Arabidopsis thaliana: one gene and its partner. The protein of the gene in region 1 interacts with the protein of each later gene in a pairwise test. Each region holds a gene or a part of one and is shown on either strand. Other genes may lie near its edges. The genes, in order: ACT7 and AT3G18060.

Evidence for each region.
Region 2: the proteins of ACT7 (region 1) and AT3G18060 interact in a two-hybrid assay, tested with the Arabidopsis thaliana proteins (2 studies listed by BioGRID).

What each region holds. Positions count from the first base shown.
Region 1 is NC_003076.8:3,042,284-3,054,001, reverse strand, and holds the start of ACT7 (actin 7), read right to left. Parts: upstream 1,941-11,718; 5' UTR 1,740-1,940; intron 1,200-1,739; 5' UTR 1,194-1,199; coding exon 1,134-1,193; intron 1,040-1,133; coding exon 646-1,039; intron 560-645; coding exon 1-559. Other genes in the region: IDL3 (inflorescence deficient in abscission (IDA)-like 3), read right to left, coding at 6,485-6,784; AT5G09800 (ARM repeat superfamily protein), read left to right, coding at 9,650-10,879. UniProt on the Arabidopsis thaliana protein: Actins are highly conserved proteins that are involved in various types of cell motility and are ubiquitously expressed in all eukaryotic cells.
Region 2 is NC_003074.8:6,178,734-6,190,451, reverse strand, and holds AT3G18060 (transducin family protein / WD-40 repeat family protein), read right to left. Parts: upstream 6,841-11,718; 5' UTR 6,573-6,840; coding exon 6,184-6,572; intron 5,959-6,183; coding exon 5,797-5,958; intron 5,680-5,796; coding exon 5,493-5,679; intron 5,213-5,492; coding exon 4,787-5,212; intron 4,414-4,786; coding exon 4,006-4,413; intron 3,922-4,005; coding exon 3,664-3,921; 3' UTR 3,301-3,663; downstream 1-3,300. Other genes in the region: BGLU43 (beta glucosidase 43), read right to left, coding at 505-601, 698-878, 946-1,048, 1,141-1,172, 1,415-1,635, 1,726-1,841, 1,935-2,186, 2,285-2,367 and 4 more; AT3G18050 (GPI-anchored protein), read right to left, coding at 7,859-8,200, 8,856-9,521. UniProt on the Arabidopsis thaliana protein: Binds actin. Enhances the F-actin depolymerization activity of actin-depolymerizing factor (ADF) proteins.

The DNA of each region.
Region 1 (11,718 bases):
TTTCTCTCTGGCGGTGCAACCACCTTGATCTTCATGCTGCTAGGTGCAAGAGCGGTGATCTCTTTGCTCATACGGTCAGCAATTCCTGGGAACATGGTGGAACCACCACTGAGAACGATGTTTCCATAGAGATCCTTCCTGATATCGACATCACATTTCATGATGGAGTTGTAAGTTGTTTCATGGATTCCAGGAGCTTCCATTCCGATGAGCGATGGCTGGAACAGAACCTCAGGACAACGGAATCTCTCAGCTCCGATGGTTATGACTTGTCCATCAGGTAGCTCGTAGTTCTTCTCCACTGAAGAACTGCTCTTGGCTGTCTCTAGCTCTTGCTCGTAGTCAAGAGCGACATAAGCAAGTTTCTCCTTTATGTCACGGACAATTTCCCGTTCTGCGGTAGTGGTGAACATGTAACCTCTCTCAGTGAGAATCTTCATGAGTGAGTCTGTGAGATCCCGACCCGCAAGATCAAGACGAAGGATAGCATGAGGAAGAGCATACCCCTCGTAGATTGGCACAGTGTGAGACACACCATCACCAGAATCGAGCACAATACCTGTTACAAAAAGAGAACGACTTTAAGTAAATACAAGTAAGAAGATAATATAACTCAGACTTGGATGTTTAGAGTTAAGAACTAACCGGTTGTACGACCACTGGCATAGAGAGAAAGAACGGCCTGAATGGCAACATACATGGCAGGGACATTGAATGTCTCAAACATGATCTGAGTCATCTTCTCCCTGTTAGCTTTAGGGTTAAGAGGTGCCTCTGTGAGTAGAACTGGGTGCTCCTCAGGGGCAACACGAAGCTCGTTGTAGAAAGTGTGATGCCATATCTTTTCCATGTCATCCCAGTTACTTACAATACCATGTTCGATTGGATACTTCAGAGTGAGGATACCTCTCTTGGACTGAGCTTCATCACCAACGTAAGCATCTTTCTGACCCATACCAACCATGACACCAGTGTGCCTAGGACGACCAACAATACTTGGGAACACTGCTCTCGGGGCATCATCACCAGCAAAACCAGCCTGTTAATATACAAAAATCATGATCAGTAGTCTTACACATGTACAACAAAGAAGGTTAGAACCATACAGTATCTAAATAAACAGTCTAACTCACCTTCACCATTCCAGTTCCATTGTCACAGACAAGTGGCTGAATATCCTCACCATCGGCCATTTTTCACTAAAAAAAAAGTAAAATGAAACCGAAATGAATTGGATAAGCTCATGAAGTAAACACGAATCAGATCACAACTTAGTTTCGAAGATTAGCAGCGTTTATTGAAACTCAAACATCGCTTCATATGTTGATTATTGAGAAAACTAGGTTCAAACTTCACAGATCTCAAAGAGAAAACACTAGAATTCACTTGTAAACATCAACACCTAACAGATCGAAGATTAAAACCAGATCAATCGAGCATACACGAAGTCATTTCGAACTAAACAACTTCACTTCACTGAAAAAAACAAAAATAACAGCGAGAGATCGACAGAAGCGAGAAGAATCCTCAAACTCCATAGATCTAACACATAAACCTTAAGAATTAGCTCAGATCGATCCAACAAGCACGGATCGAATCACATAACAAGCAACCCCCAAAACAAAGATTTTCTCATAAAACCACAACGCATGCTAAACAGATCTAGCGAAATCGGCATAGAGAATCAACAATAACGACTAACGAGCAGCAAAATCAAGCGAACGGATCTAGAGACTCACCTTGAAGAAGAAGAAGATGATACAGAAGATTCGAGAAGCAGCGAGAGAGAAAGATAGAGAAATGGAGGAGAAACAACAGCGGCAGCAGCTAACACTAAGGAAAGCGAAACGAGTACATGTGCGAATATATAGCTCTACGATTTTTCTCACTCTTTTATTTTTTTCTATTTCTTCTATTATTTCCCAAATAAAAAATCTGGGAGAGACAATGCTATGGTGACCTGGCTTTCACACTCTTTTTAGCTCACCGACGCGTCTATGTTGCCGTTAGATTGTTTTGAGTTTGATCTAAACCGTTGATTATGATTCGGTTCAAATGAATTAGCCCGGGAGCCGTGACTGATGGTTACGGCTAAAGTTAGGCTCGGCTTAGGATTTATCGGCTCGGCTTTTGTGGTTCGGACATCGTTCAAATTTTATTCTCGAAATAACAAAAAACTATTAATAGAAAAATAATAAAAACTAGAAGAGCAGACAAACGGACTGTGGTTTTTTTCTCGTGACTGTTTTTTTGAAAATCTATGGAGTTGTTTATTCTTGTGAATTTTTAATACGATTTCGTCTTTCATAATTCAAACTTCACACTTATAAATTAGTAAACATTTGACGGGTAGACTGTTGCAACCAAGGAGAATTGACGGAAATGGTCGTTTATTAGCAATTTAGAACAAAGATTGGCCAATTGTTGACTAGTCCATTTTAAGAGCTTCAAAACTCTCATTTTTATGAATTTTATATGTAGAAAAAGAAAAACACAGATTATCGATATGTTTTATAATTTATATAGATTAAATTGCATCATCACAAAATATAAAACAAATTAATCGTAAGGTGAATTTTTTGATAAATGTTTAAACACTATTGTCTAGATTTTATTGTGACAAAAAATAAAATAAAATAAAAATATATTAAATGATTGATCGGTTTTCGTGATATATCTTTTTATGTTATAAATGTTTTAATGAGTTAATTGAAAATTCCTGAAACCAAAATTCTAGACCAAAACCCGAATAGGAGCAAGATACATATCAACTACGATTTTGAGGAATGCACACTAAAAGACTAGGATCTTTGAAGCATTTTTTATAAGTCACCTTTGTGAGTGTTCTATATGAGACCCAATTCTAAGAAAATAATGTGTGTAAAGTGTATTGTTTATCTATAAATGGTATCATTATAAATTGGTTTAACTGGCTTGGAATATAACATTGATATAGTCTCACAACATGTTATATGTCCATTGATACTATTGATTAATTTGGTATATGTCCAAAACAAGTTACTTCCAATAATTCAAATATTAATCACCTTTTAGAATGATTAAAAGCTTTAACAATAATCTTTTTGAAATAAAGTTTCATATTCCTTGTTGGAAAGCATGTGCTAAGTTCTTACACTTTGTCTATAAAAGTTGGAAAGTGGTCTAGCTTGGTTGGCAACTTAAATAATCAAAATAGTTATGGGTACTCTTCTAATTTATCATTCACCTTTATTTTCTTAACATTTTTGTCCAATAACAACATTACCTATAAAAAAAAAAAAAGAGAGAGGTAAAAGGTAAATTCAAAGGGAAGCCAAATCCGTCATCATTTGTAGTTTGTATTCCAAGGAAAGATAAGTTGATTTGAGCCACCATGCTTCTCATTTCCACTTTACATTGATTGCAAATTTTGAATTTGCCTCTTATCGTATACACATGAAATTGTTCTGTGTATCATCAAATTGGGGAAATATAGATGAATTCCCAACGATAAAACGGGCCGAAAATCTTTAATGGACTGAAATAATAACAATAATATAGTTGGGCTGATTTGGCCCAATAGGAAACTTAAAGACCCAATGATGCAGTCATCTTCACTGATTATCGTTTGGGTCTGGTTTGTATATTTCAAGAAGACCAAGACCAACCAAGTGGTTTAAACAGAGAATAAAAGCTTTTGATGTTTTAGAACTTGGATTGGTTTCAAACTTTAAAATATCTCCACATTGAAAACAAGATGAAAATATTTTCACGGACTATCATATCAGTCTATTCCTCTCCAAACAAAAAAACTCTGTATCATTTAAATTCGATTCTTCCCTCCATCGGTCACACTTCTTATTGGGCTATATTGGGCCTATTAGAGTTAGTTTGATATATGTTGCTGTCTGCAGTTTCTCGTTTGCTCATTTGAGTCATTTCTTTGCCTATGGTTAAAAATCTTAGCTAAAATGATGATTTAACACACACATACAAACAAATAAGTTAGACAGTGTTTTAATGTGTTAGATCCTATTCAATGATGTGTGCCAGATAAGTTCTAAATCATATAAAAAATCAGATACCATTTTCGAAGTGCATGTAAATCATAACTAGCAACACATGATATACTGTATGTTAAATGTTACAATATAATATATAATTCAGTCCCTAAATATAAATGAAATCATACGATCAAGATCAATATATAATGTTCTATCACTAACCAAAACATTCGACTCTTTCGTGCGAATATGTTTGTCGCTTGCATTTGGATACATATGTGAATTGTGAAGTAACAAAAATTTTTTTTATCAAAAAGAACAAAAACAAAAACAATTGATATACGTGATTGGAAATAATCGAGACCCTATCAACGCGGGGTACACCGCACGTGTATGTGCACGTGGACACGAGTGCACACGTACGCATTAGACACATCACATGCCCGCATATCATAATCCTGATATATATAGACACTCTAGTATTTGTCACAACGTTTTCAGCCAATTTGACTTATATTAATTTATTCAATCTCACACGCATGCATGATTAATAATAATACACACACCATCGCAGCGGACAGCGGTGACCAAAAATTTCAATTATCTAATAAACTCATTACCAACAAGGCGTCAAAATAAATCCAAATGTTGTAAGACCCATGTTGTAATTGAATAGCGCTGTCACGTAAAGGATGGTTAAGTTATCTAAACAATTTGAATACATATATGTGGAAGTACTTTTAATTCGATTCATGAGTGGTTGATCAATAAATATAAGATGTTTTAATATAGTAAGCTTTTTTAAATAATATATATATAGTAAGTTAAGAATTCAAACGTAGCTAAAACAAAAAAAAAGTGCAAACTTTATAAAATGTAGATTATTGCAGTTAGCAGAATTACTTCACTTGAATTAGAGTCGATCGTTCACTTTCATATGTCCGTAAGTGTATGTATTGGATAATACATATGAGGATAGACATGTACCCGTAAGTACTAATGTTTAAATGTGTATCCGATCCATTTTTATATAAGAACAAAAAAGGACAGTACTAAAAAAAATAATACAGTCAGAACTAACGTATGTAAAAGATACAATTCCCTATATACAACCCATTTTTGGAAGTTTTATTTTACAGTTTATGGAATCTCCTTGTTTGACCTTTTAACTAGCTTATCTATAGGCTATAGGCTATAGCTCAAGCCTAATTACTTGTTAATGACGTAAACTAAAGTTGTAAGCGAGACAATGGAGTCAAGGGACCATAGTGTTCTTGAAAAGTATAAATCATCACATGGAATTCGAATAAAGGTATTCAAAGTTTGAATGAGAATCAAGTGGATATGAATGATTTTTCAAAAATTATGCAAAAAGATACAAATGATACTATTTCACTAACCCCAAAAAAACGTTCAATGAACTTCTGAAATTCTTAGGAGATATCACATCAAATCCTCCAATATATCTCTGCAACCGTTGGTCAATCGTATTCACAACGACTACTCAATGACATTATTGAAACAAAAATTAAACAAAAAGATACATCCAAAGTAATCAACTATGTATATAAGTCCAATCTTAATCACACGTTTTAGTTAGAACATATACCTTTCAATCTTTCATTCCTTCTTATTTTAAAGAAATGACAATTCTTTTACGCACGAACACACATTATTTGTATTTGTCAATGTCCATATATTATGGGATAATGTTTATCTTAAAATACCATATATTTTCTCTATGCATGTCCGAATAACCCGAGGTATTTAAACACCAACTCAAATACTAGTATATGTAGAATAACCTTCTATTTGTTATTACCATAACTTATAAGAAGAGAGTGGATATAAAATATTGAAATCACTACTCGGCTTATATCCATCAATATTCTACCAAACAGATGTAGCCTAAATTGATCGGGACTTGTATATATCTCAACAATTATCATTATGTCCGTAATAATCCACGATTAGGATACAGTGAACATATGATATATAATTTCATATATATCAAATTAGAAGACGGAAAATAAAAAGAACAATAATTGTTTAATTAGAAACCGACCCTTCTATCCTCGGCTCTTGTACACTTAGAGTAGACAACTTTTTATATATGTTTTTAGTATAAATAAATAATAAAATTAAAGACATTTCACTTTTGTTGTGTATAAAGTGTCTTTAGGAAGACACAAATCTCAAATTAAAGACATTCATTATTTTATTATTATTATTTTTTATAGTTTTATATTTAAAGACATGTATAAATAACCACCAATGTGGATGCTCTTACGTACTTGCAATATTTCAATGGATCAAACAAGTTCCAATATTAAACTAAAAAATTTGATCGTATCCACAGCATTGCCCATAAATAAATCAAACTGAAATCTATTTACATCAGTTTGAACCAAATTCAAAAGGGGCAAAAACTAAAACAAAAAAAACTTACAGAAGTAAAAAGGATGATTCATTAATCAAACCTTTGAACTACAAGGTGAAGATTAAGTCTTAGTACTACTTAAACCGATTTCGTTATGTTTTCTGGAAGGACCAGAAGTTGGAACCGGAAACTGACGTGGCAGGGACCCCAAGAACTGTACACTTTTGTGATCTTGTACTTGATGATGGACATGATCATGAGGTGGCGAAACGACGTCCTTTTGTTTGGGTGGCGAGCTTGTGTTGAAGACGTTCGTGGTTCTTGCTCCATTGCAGCAACTCAAAAGGACAAGAAGAAGAACAAGAATAGGAATTGTTCTCGTGAGTTGATATTTTCTTGATCGGTGGCTTCGAGAAGACATTGGTGTAAATTGGGAGAGTGAATAGAGAGAGATGGAGGGAGGGAAGTGATTTTTGTTTGAAGGAGTTTTGGGTGGAAGTATTTAATATTTAAAAGGTTTTATTTTTTTGTTGATGGGTGATTGAATGAAAAAGAGAAGGCTGTGAATTGTTGACAGCTAGAAATATGGGCACATCAAGAGAGAGAGATTTTGATTGGAAAGATGTTGACTTATGGTTCTATTTGTATGTTTCTTTTTATTTACTCATATGGTTCTATTCTTATCTCTCTTATTAAGGAAAACCATGCACTAAACCTAAATCTAGTTAATCATGGATATTTACGTAGTAATTACATTATTCAAAACATACTAAATCAAATTGGAGACACAAGATGTTTTACCCCTATACTACCTTCACTTGAGTTTAAATTAACTATTTCTGAACATGATCTCATATTGGAATGCGTAAAAAACGTTGTTGGGCAAAAACAATAACGTCTCTTCATAGCTCTTGATATGACCCACAAGACAAAAAAAGTTGGAGGAAGACTCCTTTATAGCTGTCTTTAATTAGGTTCACGTATAAGTACTATTGCATATTTATGATATTTCTAATTTTGCGTTTGAAATAACATGTATTATGTGGGTTTGACCATGTCTGATCATATAATAACGGTTTTAGCATTGACCATTAGGATTACAGGTTATTAACATTGTCAAGATTTTTAGTTTACTTTCAATTTAAAATACATTTCACATTTGTTTCTATAATATATTATCAATTAATCCTCTCTGTGGAGTGAAAGTGAGAGGGGACAAAGAGAAGAAAACGAAAGAAAAATAATTAGTGGTGGGTCAAGGTCAAGCCTTTTCATTTCATGTTATGTGAAAAAAATATAATTCATATTACTTGACGACAAAATAAAATAATTTCATATCAGTTTGATAATACTATAGTGTATTCTATCCTTGCAATCTCTTACAATTGATTGAGCAAACCACGCGCATATGCATAAAAAAGTTTCTATATTTCCTAGATCTATCCTTTACGTAAAACAAGTTCGAGCTAAAACGTAACGTGACTTAACGACCAGGCAATACAACTACTGCACCGCAAGACCGGATCAACCAATTCTAAATTTTAGTCATCATCAAGACATCAACTTTTTATTTCTTGGACATCTTCCTTAACGTAATCATCAACTTAAAGACCGTAGCTTTAGTGGACACTTTTGAGTTGCATCCTCTTTTGCGGCATATATATTGAAGGCAGAGAATAATGACGATGAGACCCCTTTGTACGAACAAGATGTCAGAACTTAGAAGAACGAAGGAAACCGAACATAAAAGGCAACAACAGTAGTTGTGTCAGAACAACAACAGTAAATGAGATGTAAAAGCTTGTCCAGGCTAGTTCCTTAGCGTTACTGTAACAACACTGTTGAAAATATACGAGTATAAAATAGTACTATTACAAATTACAACCAAAGCGATTTTCGTGCTAATTACCGACCATCTGTTCATACACGTTTTTTTTTTTTTTTTTACCGACCATCTGTTCATACACGTTTTCTCCAATGCATCATTCTCATTGATTTTTTTTTTTTATTGTCACAGTATTTTTTTGTAATCCGAAAGGTTAAATGCTTCTCTCTAAAGTTTAGTGACTTTTGCAATACAATTACCCTCCGCCAAAAACTTAAGCGCAATTCTTCACTAAAAGAAACGTTATTTCATTGCAATCGCACTACATTTACATATATAATATAAACACGATCATAAAGATAACAAATGCGATGAGGCTCATACCAAAAAAACATAAAAAGTGCGATGAGGTTATAGCATAACGATAACTCGCCTTCTTTCTTTATTTGTTTTCTATGTATTGACATAGAAAAAGAGGAGTAAATTTAATGGGCCTCTGATTCGCAAAATAATAATAAATGACTAAGCCTACGAACGATGGTTTGGGTTACATACAAGGCCCATACACGAGCCTGGACTGTCACATTCACATAACCGAGTAGTAGTTTACTCTTGATGTCATTGACACTTTGTCGCTAAGGTAATCGATAAAGACTTTATTTAAAGTGGACTTTGAAAAGGAAAAGGAAGCAACAAAAGTTGCAAAAGGCCGTCGAATCTGTCTGGTCAATAAGTTCACTTCCTTTTATCACATTTGTTTTACAAATATTAATGACTACAACAATTCTTCAAGGGACAATACGAGTATTTTATTTACGAGAACTGGACAAATTGTTTATAGGCTCTTTAAAAGAAATCAAAAGGTTCCCGAGTTTCCTCGAACGGTGCAATTTTAAAATGTAAGTGGATCCTTAGGCGAAATCTGTACCGTTGGTGGTACTGTTAACGGTTGAGATGAACTCGAATACAAATCTTAGTCTACGCGCGCCGAAAGATACCCAGACTCAACTATTTGACCAAAAGTGAGAGAACGAAATACGGAAAAGTATTCATTTCATGGGTTTGGCATATAATAAATAAATATGTCAAAAAAGTTTTTTCTCCCAATGTTATACAAAGTTGAAAATAAACATGCAAAATTAGGGAAATTTTATTAACTACTGTAAATAATAATCTCAATTTAACAAAAAACTGTCTCTCCATATTATTTAAAACCTTAGCATAATTTAAAAAAATTAAGATTCATAAAATAAAATAACGTAATTATATTTTTTTTTAAATGGAAAAGTATCAAGAGGTTGTTCAAAAAGTGAATTTTGACGTCAGCATATTTGAACTCTCTCTCATGACTCATCATCTTCTTAAAACCTAACCACACGAGTCACGTCTCTTTCTCTCTCAGTGATTTTGTTATTTATTCTCTCTTTGAAACGTTTTCGCCGAAGAAGAAAGAGCAAAAACATGAGGAGCGATGATCTTTACATCACCACCGTCCCTTGTTTCTTCAAATGTCCAATTTCACTTGATGTGATGAAATCTCCGGTGAGTCTCTCCACCGGCGTTACATACGACCGAGTTAGCATCCAACGTTGGCTCGATGATGGTAACAATACTTGTCCCGCGACGATGCAGATTCTTCAGAACAAAGAATTCGTACCTAACCTAACTCTTCACCGTCTCATTGATCACTGGTCCGACTCCATCAACCGTCGAGCCGATTCTGAGTCTCCGGAATCCGATACTCCGACGCGAGACGAAATTAACGCTGCGATTGAGAGATTCCGGATCGAGAATGATGCTCGTTCGAAGATTCTCCGGTTCGCGAGAGAATCTGATGAGAACAGAGAGTTTCTCGCCGGGAAAGATGATTTCGTAGCGATGCTTGTGGATCTCATTAGCGATTCCAGAAACTTCTCTGATTCTCAATTGCTACTCGTTGGAGAAGCGGTGAAGATTCTGAGCATGATTCGTCGGAAAATCTTCGATCGGAGACGGTTATCGAATCTGATCTTAACGAACGGTGGTGATTGCTTGACTTCCTTCTTCCTATTGATTAAACGCGGGAATCCAAAATTGAAGATCGATTGCTCCGCCGTGCTTGAGTTTATCGCCGTCGACGCAGAGTCAAAGCTTATAATCGCCAAGGGAGAAGGATTGGTCACCGAGATTATTAAATTGATAAGCTCAGATTCCGACTCAAGCTTAATCGAAGCGAATTTATCTTTATTAATCGCGATTGCGTCTTCAAAACGCGTGAAACTCGCATTAATCAGAGAAAAGCTAGTCACGAAACTCACGAGTTTGTTAACAGATCCAACTACGAGCGTTTCAGTGACGGAAAAATGCTTAAAGCTTCTCGAAGCTATTTCGTCTTGTAAAGAAGGTCGATCGGAGATTTGTGATGGTGTGTGCGTGGAGACGGTGGTGAATAAGCTGATGAAAGTGTCGACGGCGGCGACTGAACACGCCGTTACGGTTTTGTGGAGCGTCTGTTATCTTTTCAAGGAAAAGAAGGCGCAAGATGCCGTTATTAGAATTAACGGCGTTACGAAGATACTGTTACTTTTACAGAGTAATTGCTCGCTTACCGTTAGGCATATGCTAACGGATCTTCTTAAGGTGTTCAAGGTGAACTCAAGATCTTGCCTTTCGGTATACGAAACCAAAACGACACATATTATGCCGTTTTGATTATCCCCCCTCCGTATTAACTTCTTTAGGGATTATTACTTGTTGGTAAAAAAAATTCAAGTTGTAAGGAAAGAGATTTTTTGGAAGGTGAATGGAATTGTTATCACGGCCAATGCCATTAGAACTTTGAGAATAAATTGCAATGTTCTTTAGTACTAGTATCATTGCAATGTTGATACTCTAAACCAGAATTTTATGTTTGGACTTGGCAAAATCGTATTAAAAGTAAAGCTATCAATATGCTCTATCAAGGGAGATGTTGTCTTTGTATCTAAAACAAACTGAATCTTGATTGATTGAGCAGTCAAAAACAAAATTGGATTTAAAAGATTACAAGAAGTGGATTTGGCATTTGGAGGAACGTTAGGATAAGGAAGGAGGTCTTTGGTGAGTTGCAATTTCTTGTCAACATCAACCTTAGTACCAATTTCCACTTTCATTACTTGAAGAAATTCACTTTCCGACAGAACAGCCTCACTTGTTCGACTTCTCTAAGATTCCCTCTACACCCGTATAACTCCAACACCTTCAACGTATTTCCATCAATGCTATACCCACAAGTACTTACACACTGAAAACCCTGAAACAACGGATAGAAAAGAAAAGAACACACAGTAAGTGAAACTCCGAGATTAAATTTATAATTGAGAAAGAGAAAAAGAGATCATATTATACATACAAACCTTGAGGATCAAAGTTTCTAGATTGGGAGAGCTTTTTATCAGAGTCCAAAGAACTTTCCAACCTTTTTTCGTCTTAGACTCAAACGATAGTTTAACAAGGTTTTTAAACAAGGGAAATTCATTACTACGCCAATAATCGAAGCAATGACGCATCAT
Region 2 (11,718 bases), on another chromosome or scaffold:
GATTTTTTGTCTAAAAAGATATGTGATGTGAATCGTGTTATGAGATTTTTCAGTGGAAGAGGAATGATTACATCCATTATTGAGTCGTCGAGTCTAACAAGCATTTTAGCATCTCAAAATATCCATTGATCAAGATTCCTTTTTTGCCAATCACTTGCAATAATTAGTTGCCCTGTCACATAACATCAACATCTATCTTTTTGATACAAGTGATTTGGAAGAACTTACACATCCATTTTAAATCCAATATTTTTCTAATTTTGAATGACTTGATAAATAGAAACTGAGCCACGGTAAAGTGAATAGAAATTAAAAAAAAATGAGGATGAGGATGATAGCATACATTGTTGAATGTAGAAGTTCTATGATAGAAGAACCAAATTTCTTGCTGCTGTTTTATGTAAGCGTTGAAATGTCAAAGGAAGACAAGTTCTTAAGTTATACACATATGACATATTCATTCACCTCTCGTTAACAACCCAAATCATAGACACATTGACCACATCATTTCTGGTCCCGTTTCAAAAGTTGTTTAAACCATAAAGCAGACATCTTGGGGTATCTCTTCAAGTCCTTGTAATCAACGTACACTATTCCAAACCTAGGCAGAAAAAAATCATTAGAAGAGTACCATATAATATACATTTTCTCAGAAATAATCATATACCCAATAGGTATTCATTAGTTAATTCCGCACCTTGAAGTATATCCTGATAACCATTCGAAATTATCTAGCAACGACCACGCAAAATATCCAGTTAGATTGGCTCCATCGTCTACTGCTTTTTTAAGCTGCACTAAATAGTCTCTATAATACTTGACTCTTGTTGTATCATTTAGTCCTTGAGTTAGAGTTATGTTGCCCGGATCATCCATACCTATAAAGATTATACACTTAACATCTCTAGAGATCTTGGATGTGGAACAAAAATTTATATTGAATACCGTTTTCGGAGAGAATCATAGTTGGGTTGCCATAACGTTCCTCAATGTACATTAAAGCTTTGTACATTCCCCATGGGACATTGTATAACCATTCTGAATGTGCCTGAATAAAATTAGATTAATTCATAATCAGACAACTAAGCAATCATCAGAGAGAGTTAACAAAACTCAGAAGAAAACATATATTTATCTCACCCTTGGACCAATTGGTGTCCCATTCTTTGCAACTGCACATATTAAGATTTCTCAGTATTAATATCATGCACATTTATATTGCCACAGTCCGATCCCATAAGGACGAACCAGCCTTACTTTTGGTCCAAGTCTAGAGTAATTTTTCTCATACTGACATATTTGCTTTTGAAACATTCAGACCCTAACTTAGCTAGTTATATGTTCTATAATCTAAGCAAGATCAAGTTCATTCATAAGTCATAACGGATAAATGTACATATGAACAAAAACTTACAGTTAAAAGTGACGTTCCAATCTTGTTGATAACCCAAATCTTTAGGTGTGGTAGATATTTTAGGATCAGACATGAAATAAGTTGTGTATTGGTTTATCCCCACGAAGTCTATGGAACCTTTCACCATTTTCACTTCTTCCTCGGTGAACTTCGGAAGTCTCTCCTTCACGATGTTTTGCAACGTATTTGGGTACTCTCCATACACTATTGGGTGAATAAACCTTCAAACATTATCCCCACACAAAAGATATTCTTATAAGCTCACCAAAATGTAACTGGAAAAATATGAGTCCAAAAGTTTGAACCGTTACCATCCAACATGGAAGTCTCTTGCTCTTTGAGCAGCGTCATTGTCTGCTTGACTACTCGTAAGTGGCTCAAACCAAACAAAATCCAGTAGAATCCCAACCCTTCCCTTTTGTTTCTCCTGAGAAGAATTTGTCAGTTAGATCTTTAGTAATCATATACATGTTTAATATCATAGAAACAACTTGAAGGAGCCTATAAGGTTATTACATACCTGATAATTTTGGCGGTATCTCTGGACGGCTGCTGCATGTGCCAAGATAAGGTGATGTGCAACAATGTATGGTTCAGTTGCAGAGTTTCCATCAGTGCAGTTTCCAAATGCTTCAGAGCATCTACCCGGCGCAAAAATGCCGTTATCATAACCTAGAGCAGCTACTACACGAGGCTCGTTAAACGTCATCCAGTTCTTCACTCTATCTCCAAATGTTTGAAACAAAACTCTGCGTAATCCGCAAAATCTTCCCTGTAAATTGCCTCATATCAAATGATTGTAGCTTTTGAGGATGTTGCAGTAAGAGACTAAAGATTAAAAGATAAATCACAAGTTGGTGCTTACACTACTTGTTTACTAAGCAGGCCTTGATACTTTTGTTCCAAGGCTAAAGGAAGGTCATAGTGGTACAGATTAGCATACGGTGTAATCCCTAAGAATTAAGTTACATTCATAAGACAATTAATGATCAAATCAAAGTGTCTATGAATGTTCAATGTACTAAAAATCTATACCTTTTTCGATCAAGTAATCGATCAATCTATTGTAATAAGCAACTCCATTCGAGTTGATTTTACCGGATCCCTCTGTATTCATAAGCTGAAGTTATAGACTAATCTTAATCTAAAATATAAGCAATGTAATTAATTTTATACATTATCCAGTAATACCAGGGAATATTCTAGACCATGAAATGGAAAATCTGTAGGCATCAATGTTCAGGTTCTGCATCAAATCTACATCTTCCTGAAATGTGATTAACATGAACACCAAAGGATGTACATTATAATATAACCACACACAAAAAAAAATATATACATGATGATTTAGGAACAAAAGATTAGTGACAAGAAGTACCTTGTAACGATGATATTGGTCCACTGTTATCTCAGCAGTGGCATTGTTGGCAATCTTACCTGTGTTTTTTTACCAATGGTAAATAAGAAATCGAAATGATTAACTAATCAGTTTAATTAGTGAATTGTAATTAGATTGATTATGAGATTAACCAGGAATCTTGACGAATGCATCCCAAATGCTTGGACCACGACCATCTTGGTGGGTCTCGCCTTCGACCTGGTAAGCTGACGTGGCGGTTCCGAACAAGAATCCTTCCGGAAAACTCTTTCTGTTAAGACCGCCGGTGGCCAATGGGACGGCGTCTCCGGACGGCGACTCTTCGCCGGAGCGGGAAGCAGAGAGGAGGAGGAGAAAAAGAAACATGTGAAGCTCACTATGGGACAGAATGTGGGGACTGGGGAGTGAATTATGAACGAGGATCAATGTGTGTCTTCTTGCTTCAGGCTTAGAATTATAAGCGAGATTAATTATTTAATCATTTTTGTTAATAAGGTTGATTAACTATTGATCAGATAAATTAATTGAAAAATCTCCTCTGTTTTCATCTACTTCAGAAAACAACTTTTGTAAGAAGAACAAATATTATAGAGCCCAAAAATCATTGAGAGAAAGCACAATCTCAAGTCCCATTCTGTATCAGTAATCTTCTGATAATGAAAAAAAATCTGACTCAAGATCTCAGTTTCAGACCAAAACAGAGCATTCATTTTTGACAAAAGATATGCAGACAAAAAAAAAAACAGACACACACATCAACACAGCCACGGCCAAACGGAAGATTCACAAAAAAAGCCTTCAAAAGTAGTAGAAGCTTTCCAAAGAGACAAGATAGGACTTGTCCAGAGATCTTTATAATTTACGTCAAGTCTTATTGAGGAGTAAAGCTCCAGACGCGGATACAAGCATCTTCACCAGAACTCACTACATGGGAATCATCAGCAAAACCCAGACCATATACTCCACCTAAGTGAGCTCCTTTTATTGTCATGCGTGACGAAGCAGGTTTGTCCACTTCATACACAATCACACACGTGTCCAAGGATCCTGTGGCAACCATAGTGCTGTTTGGAGACCAAGCTAAGCAGTTTATGCGGGCGCTATGGTACAACATGTTCTTGAGTTTCATCTGTTTAAAAAAAAAGGGACGATATAAGATCAGTGTTTGTGTTCCAGATTCATGGAGAGATTCTAAATAATCTTAATTACTTACCTCTCTGGAGACTCTGTCCCACACAACTGCTTCTCTGTTCAAATCAGCTGATGCAAACATAGACAAATCTGGAGAGTAACGTATGACGCTGATGGCGCCTCTGTGTCTCTCGAGAACTGCTTCCTCGGTGAGGGAGTCACCATTAATAGAATACAAATGGAGTTTACCGTCTTGGCCACCGATGACAGCTTCGGTTCCATCAGGTGTTACTGCCAAAGCAGTGACAATGAACCCAAGGTTGATGGTTGACACTACTTTCCCATCACGAAGAAACACAACTCCTGACTCAAAGGTCACCAGAAGGAGATCGGGTGAGAGTGGTGCAAGGCTTAGATCCTTTGGTTGATTTCCAATGTCGATAGACTCTTCATTTGTGCATTGATCATCTTTATAGGAGATCCTGGATATCTGAATAAGAATCACATAGTGAATAAACGTGAGTTAGTTGCTTCAATAACAATAATGCTTGGAAGCAATTAGATAACCTACGAAATAAAAAATATTAGTCACTGCTAGTCTTACAAGGTAAAGACCATTTGGCCTTCAGTGATCGCTCTTTTAAATTCTCTAAACCACAAGATCATTAGTATATTTTTCCAAAGTGTTAATAATCTTAAGAGACCATTGTGTCTTTAGAATTGCCAATATTTCAGAGAGAAAAAAACCTAATTCACTTGTTTCGTCCTTACATTCAATCCCCTAAACACCAAATTCAGACACTGCAGAAATCAAGGTGACAAGTCCTACATGTGAATAAAAATTAAAGTGAGAACCAGTTTACCTTATTGTCATATCCAGAGGTCACGATCTCTTCTTCATGGGCAGCAAAGCACTTTATTTGAGAGTTTTGTGTCCGCTGCAATTTACCGCAAAAACCACGGCCTAGCATCCATTTACATATCAGTCCATCATAACTACCGGATAATATGTAATCAGCGTTTCCTTTAAGCACAGCTAAGGAAGAGACGTTCTTCATGTGTCCCGAAAACTGAAAGGGGGATTTATCCAGATCGCTTGCTGAGAATATGCTGATTGTGCCACCTAGAGAAACAGTGACAATATGATCGTTCTGCCACAGACACCCAACAAGCATATCGTCTACTCCACCTGATGATCCAGGACAGTTCAATGTTGTATTCAATGATCCACTACCGTTGTCTGATATATCCCATATTTTGGCTGACTTGTCTGCGGAAACAGTGAGCACCTGGTTGATGATTCAAACATATACAACACGTGAGTACAGACGTAGCATAACATCAACCATGATGTAATCAACAACTAGAAGATAGAGAATATGTCATTCAGTCTTCATAGATACACCCAAGATAGTTCATTTATGTACGTCATACTGCAGCAGGTTAGACCAATTACTTCCATACGCTATTCTAGTAGACCTTGTTTAAGCCTAATGTAGTTTGAGCGTAATATGAGGGAATCAGGCAAGAGTTGAGAATACGGAACAACAAACAGATATAACTTAGTACCTGTTTACCATCAGGACTCCAGCTGACTGCATAGATGCTACCTTTATGCCCATCATCAGAAGACAGTTCTCCCAGTATCTCACAAGTCTTTCCATCATATATGATTCCCTTCTTATCTGAACTCACAGTAATGAACTTACTTCCATCTGGTGCAAACCTCACACAGTTGACAAAGTTGGAATGCTCTCTGTCGACCAATAAACAGCAATCTCGTAAACAATTCAGAAACTCACAAGCAGGAAATTTAAACAGATATCGAAAGTGTCATATTTCTTTAAAGAAAGGGAGCACATGAATATCTGACCTGCTTGAGAGCTTGAACTTAAAAGGAGGACCTTCATAGAAATTCACCAGAAAATCCTCCCCACAAGTTACAATACGGAACGGCCTAGTTGGCTTGATAGCACAGCTAAGAACTCTCCTAGAATGACCATCAAACTCTCCCACATTTGATCCTGAATCCCACCTAATAAACCAAGACAAACAATGAGTCAATAATCCATCAAAGTTGAGAAGAAGAAACAAAATGCTCAATTTCAATCTGATTAATATCGATCCGATTCAACAAAATAAAAGCAACACCAGCAGAAAAACAAAACCTTTAGTCCGATCAATCAAAATCAACGAAAACAACATTGAGCTAAGCACTATAAAAATCAAATCTTTATCTAAAAAGCAAAACCAAACTCACATGAAAGCACGAACAAGAGATTTGCCTTTGCCATCACCAGAAGCAACGATCCTCATCCCATCAGCAGACCACTGAAGATCATCGATCCGACCAGCCAAAACCTTAAACTCATTCTTCAACACATGATCGTTGTAAGCTCCCCAGATTCTAACAGTCCCCGACACATCACCAGACGCGATCCACTCTCCGTTCGGAGAATATCGCGCCACAGTAGCTGGGTAAGCGTGCTCACCATAGATAGAGACCTTTAAAGGATTGTTAAGGTCGAGAGTCACGACGGATCGACCATTAGTGTAGAGGATGGTATCGGACTTCGAGTTACCAGAGATCAGAATTCCTCTACCTCTCTCCGTCGATGGAACACAAGCATAGGTTTCTGAAAGCTCCATCAGAACCGAGGACTTTGCAGAGATTGTTTTTGGGTTTACGGGGAAGAAGAGAGACGAGGAAAATGGAAGGACGGATTTGAGTCTTTTTGAGTTTTGTTTGACATTACATTTGTTAATATTTAGTTGTTGTAATTAGAAAGATAATGTAATGATAATCATTGTTGCAACATTCACTTCTCTGGCACAAACTCATTAGATAACCCAAAAATAATGTAAAGTGTAGTTGTATAATAGTTTTGTGCTAATCACTTTGTTTCTTAAGACTTACATATCATAATGCAGAGTAGTATATAACATTAAGAATAATAAACTTCCATTGATTTTTGTTGGAAATACCTTGAATTATGAACAATTTTGAAAAATTATATATTTTCTACTAAATTAGAAATGAGTGGAACCAAATTATTTCTCTATTATCTTCATTCCATTTTAATCAATTCCTCAATCTCTCATGTTTTTACCATTGTAATTTTAGATTAGACTAATGGGTGTGTTATTTGGCCAAAAAGGTAAATGTGCGGCCCATGGGCAAGTTAGTTTAGCCCAGCCCAGTTATATACGCAATAATGCCAAAGTCAATGAATCGCTAGCAGTTGATTGGCGCATTAGTGAACCTCTATCTAATCACTACCACAAAAAAAATGTTATGAAATATCTTTTTCATAATATTTCTCAAAGGAAAAATCTAACGAATGGAAGCATTCGATTATTGAATGAAATATTATTTGAACTATATGAGAAAATAAAGTGTCAGTCGTGGGGCTTTTTACATCTCTTGGTCGCATTGATAATTCATATAAAATATAGAATATGATAGGGATGAATCATGAATGTATTATTGTTATAGGAGCATCCGTGGTTAGAGAGAAGATAAGGAAACATAAGAACAAAGCTGTCACAAGTCTCTCTGTCTCTCTCAAACCAGCCACACCACCTCGTCCCCATTACTCACATGCCTTTCTCTGACTATTATTCTTCTCCTCCCAAAAACTGATATATTTATATTGATTGCGCTCATATAATTTGATATGACCGAAAATATTGTTGAAATATTTTCAAATTGTGATTTTTCAATATTTAATTGACAAAATACAACAAGATTTTTTTGATGTAATAAAATGTTAAAGAACATGGCTACTAAAACAACAACGACACCAAAAAACTAATTTACAAAGACAGAACCAAAGCCCTCTCTCTTTCTCTCTATCTGAATTTCACTTCTCTCAACCAACCACGTAATGCCACGTGCTCCACGTCACAATCAAATCCAACCATGGTGTGCCACGTCACCACGACCTTATTAGGACTAATGTGATAACGCTGTAAAGTAAGAAGTGGACCAAGTGGTGCGGATACTGAAGTGAAGTTGGCGAGCCGTTGGAGAATTCGGAAGAATCGACGGCTAAAGGCATGCCGTCGCTGCCGAGAGCACATGAACGTGGCACGCCATCGTGGTTCAGCATGACGGCTCGGAGGACAGAAGTGACAGTGGGGAAATAAGCAGTACGGTTCTTAGCGAGAAGCCAAGTGAGACCCATGAGGACACAGTCTTTGTTGTGCATCTTTGCTGTTCTGTTTCGGTCTTCCTTTGATGGGTTTCTTGTCCCTGAAGTTTTCTTCGGATTTAGCTGCAAAATGAAGCAGAAGTGTTTGTTTTGATTAGGGTTTGTTGCTGCTGACTAAAGTAATGATTGAGGATTGTAGAAAGTAGAAAGGTGGCAACTAGTTGCTAAGCTTTTGGCTATGGTGGGTTGGTGATTAAGATGCAGAAGAATGAAATCATATGATGGAAGACAAAACGTCGCGTGGAGATCACGGATTCTGTTAGCGCGTATATGTGTGTCAGACTGTCAGATAGAAAGAGAACAAAAAGCTAAAGAACAAAACTTTTCCCAAATTACTACCATTCGCCATATGATGGATAGATCAGAAAGAATCCTAAACTACATAATTCCAAATCTTCACTCACTCATATAGTAAAACCCTAATCCTTAAACACCAAATAAATATCATTAAAAAAGGGCTTCTAAACTTTGGACTAAACCTTACATAGTTAACTACTATAACTAGTCCATCAATTCCTCATTACTCATCCAAAAAATTGTCTTAATCAGTCAATCAAACAAAATCCAGAAGCTAAACACCAACAACGCTTCAGGGTATCTATAGATTATCTAAAAGTTACTAGATTTGCACACACATTTTACCAATTTAGCCAACCTAATTCCATTTGAACTTCACAGTGGCAGCTTCTAAATATAGCAGCAAAGTTAGTGACTTTACCTTATAGAGACTGTTCAAGCACTTGTTGCAACCAAGAAGAGGTGAGAATCCATCAGCATTGTTGTGGCTTCCACTCAAACAATCAGTCTCTAATCTATCAACTCTCTCGTCTCCAACGAGTCTCCCTTCATCATTCACTCTAAAAGCCTCGGAACAGCTCAACGGATGCAATCTGATTCCACAGTAGCAGTAAACGACGTCGCAAGTCTCGTTCGGTCTAGTGAGCTCAATCCCTCTCTGCCTCAGAGATTTCCCTAATCCGTCAACGCAAGTCTCCGAGTCATCGGGAAGCAAAGGCATATCTTCTTCAGGAGTCGTTACCGCGGCGGAGGAGGAGGATGAGTTTCTTGCGGCGGCGGAAATCGAACGGCTTAGAGCAGTGGTTGAGTAAGCAGAGTAGAGCCACGCGCCTAGTACGGGGCAACATTTTCCTTTGTGGAGCTTTTTGCCGCTGCAAGCTGACTTGATGCCGTGGAAGAGGTCTTCTGGTAAATCGAGTGGGCAGCCGGAGAAATCGGATTGCTCCGGGAAAGCGGGTATGGTTGCGGGTGGGGATGATTTGACCCGGAATGGCTGGACTGTGACCGGTTCAGGTGAAACGGGTGATAGAATGGTGAAGAGGAAGATGATGATGAGGGAAATGGAAGAAGGCGCGTGTTGGAACATCGCCGGAACAGAGGAGACAGAGTAATAGAGAAAGAGAGAGGGACAAAGAGTGAGAGACTGGAAGAGATGTGTAATAAAATATCACAAATGGGATCTCGATATATACCAATTTAATACTACTAAGTCAGTTTTTTTATTAGTTTTAATAATGTAAAAAAATCAGTGGAAAAAAATTTGTGATCAAACATTCTTAAAATTACAAAACATTTCTTATGCTTCGTTAACACTCCATTTTTCAGTGTGTAGGACAATAATAGAAAAAATAAACTTTTTAATCGTAATCCATGCTGGCGACTATTTTATGAATAATGAAATCATATTGGATTATTACTTATTAGGGTAACCTTAGTTGAATATTGAGGGTTGTGAATCACGGGACGATTGTTCTTTGCATTGAAACTTGAAAGATCACAGAGGCAAGTGATCGACAGGTTCACTGTTATTTGTTAATAATTTCAATACATAAGAGTTTGGAAGGATTCGTTTAAGTTTAGCTTATCATATTTGAGTACTTTTTTATTTTATTTTTAAACGCTACATATTTACTAGATTTGATATGTAATCTGTATAATCAATAAAATTAGCAGAGTCCGATTTCAACAATGCAGATAAACTACAAAATTATAGTACTAGCATGTGTTTGTCTCGTAATGCAGATAAACTTTTCCGTTAATTAGTTTACAATATAATGCAATTAATTTTTCGCAACTTAAATGTCATGGAAAACAAGAGACCATGCAATTTTTTCAATCACTAATATAGCTATAAGAAAAAAGTCGTCAGATTAGTTTTATTATGGTTATAGACTTATACTTTAGCTGTTTTGTCAATTTTCATGAAACTTTTGAGTTGTAATAAAACATTTTTTTGATAAAGAAAAATAAAGAGTTGTATAACAACTTTACTCTTATTTCCATGAAATAAAAAAAATATTCTATCTCAAAAGAAAAAGAAGTCTAACTTCTGTCTTTTTGTTCCAAGTGTTTTTTAGTCCTTTGATTTCTAGGAGTCTCTATTAATTTGGTTTTGTTTTGTTTCTTATTTTGTTGAAGCAAGAACTAGTTGGACGACGACGACCACAAGAACATAAACACTAGGAGTCTAGGATTTATCTCGAGATTAATAGTACAAGTATGTTCATGGAATTTTACTTTTATATCCATTTTACCCACAAAACACTATTGGTTGATAGTAAAAAGGAAAAAGAAAGAATTATGTGGAGCTCCATGTTAAAAAGGTAATGTCAGGCATGCGAATGGTTTGTTGTAGTGAAAGCTGCTTAAACTATAACACTACAAAACCCTTTTTCGGGAATGCCATTACAAAAGTATCTATCTATAACGTAATGCAAGATGGATTCACTTACGTCACAAGGACAAGAGACTATTTTACTATAGAGTTACAAATGGTAAATTTATAATATACTTACCGTGTTCAAACTTCAAATATCATATCAAAAATAAACTTAGTCAGTCAATTTGGATATAGACTTAGACTATAGAGTAAAAGAAGAAACTAAAATTTACAACATTATTGTAGGGGTTTTTGTACATATGGGCATATTTTGACCCAAAAATTAGAATAGAAACATATTTTATTTGGGCTTATAAGTCTGGGTACTTTTTGGTCTGTAAATGACCATTTTGCCCTCGAATGTGTTGATGATGATCTTCATCTTCTCCGTCGTGAGACAACAACCTCACTGTCTCCAAATTGAAATTGAGAAGTACAAAGAAGACGATAACTACCCATAACCCATGATATGAAAATCCAAATTAAAAATAAACTCATTATCGGAACTTCCTATAATTACTAAACCCATAACTCCACAAACGATAAATACCCAGATTTAATTTTGAATCAATCAACAATCAAATCTCGTTTCCTTCTCCTCCGATGATTCACACAACATTTCTATGACCAACCTTTTTCGATGAATCCAATGGAACTAATTAAACAAGTTTTGTTGCAAGAAAACTAAACCCTAAGGGATGATGTTTAGGGAACCCAAAGGCTTTAATTATAGACACAGATCGATCCATCTCAACTGTAAAACAATCTGATTGTGAATCATGAGCAACTAAGCCATCTTCATCAAACTCGCATCTGAATCAAGAGCTTGAAGAAGGAAGAAAGAATGAAGAAACAATAAAAGGATAAATTAGTCTTTTAGAGAAAAAGAAAATACCCATCCTTA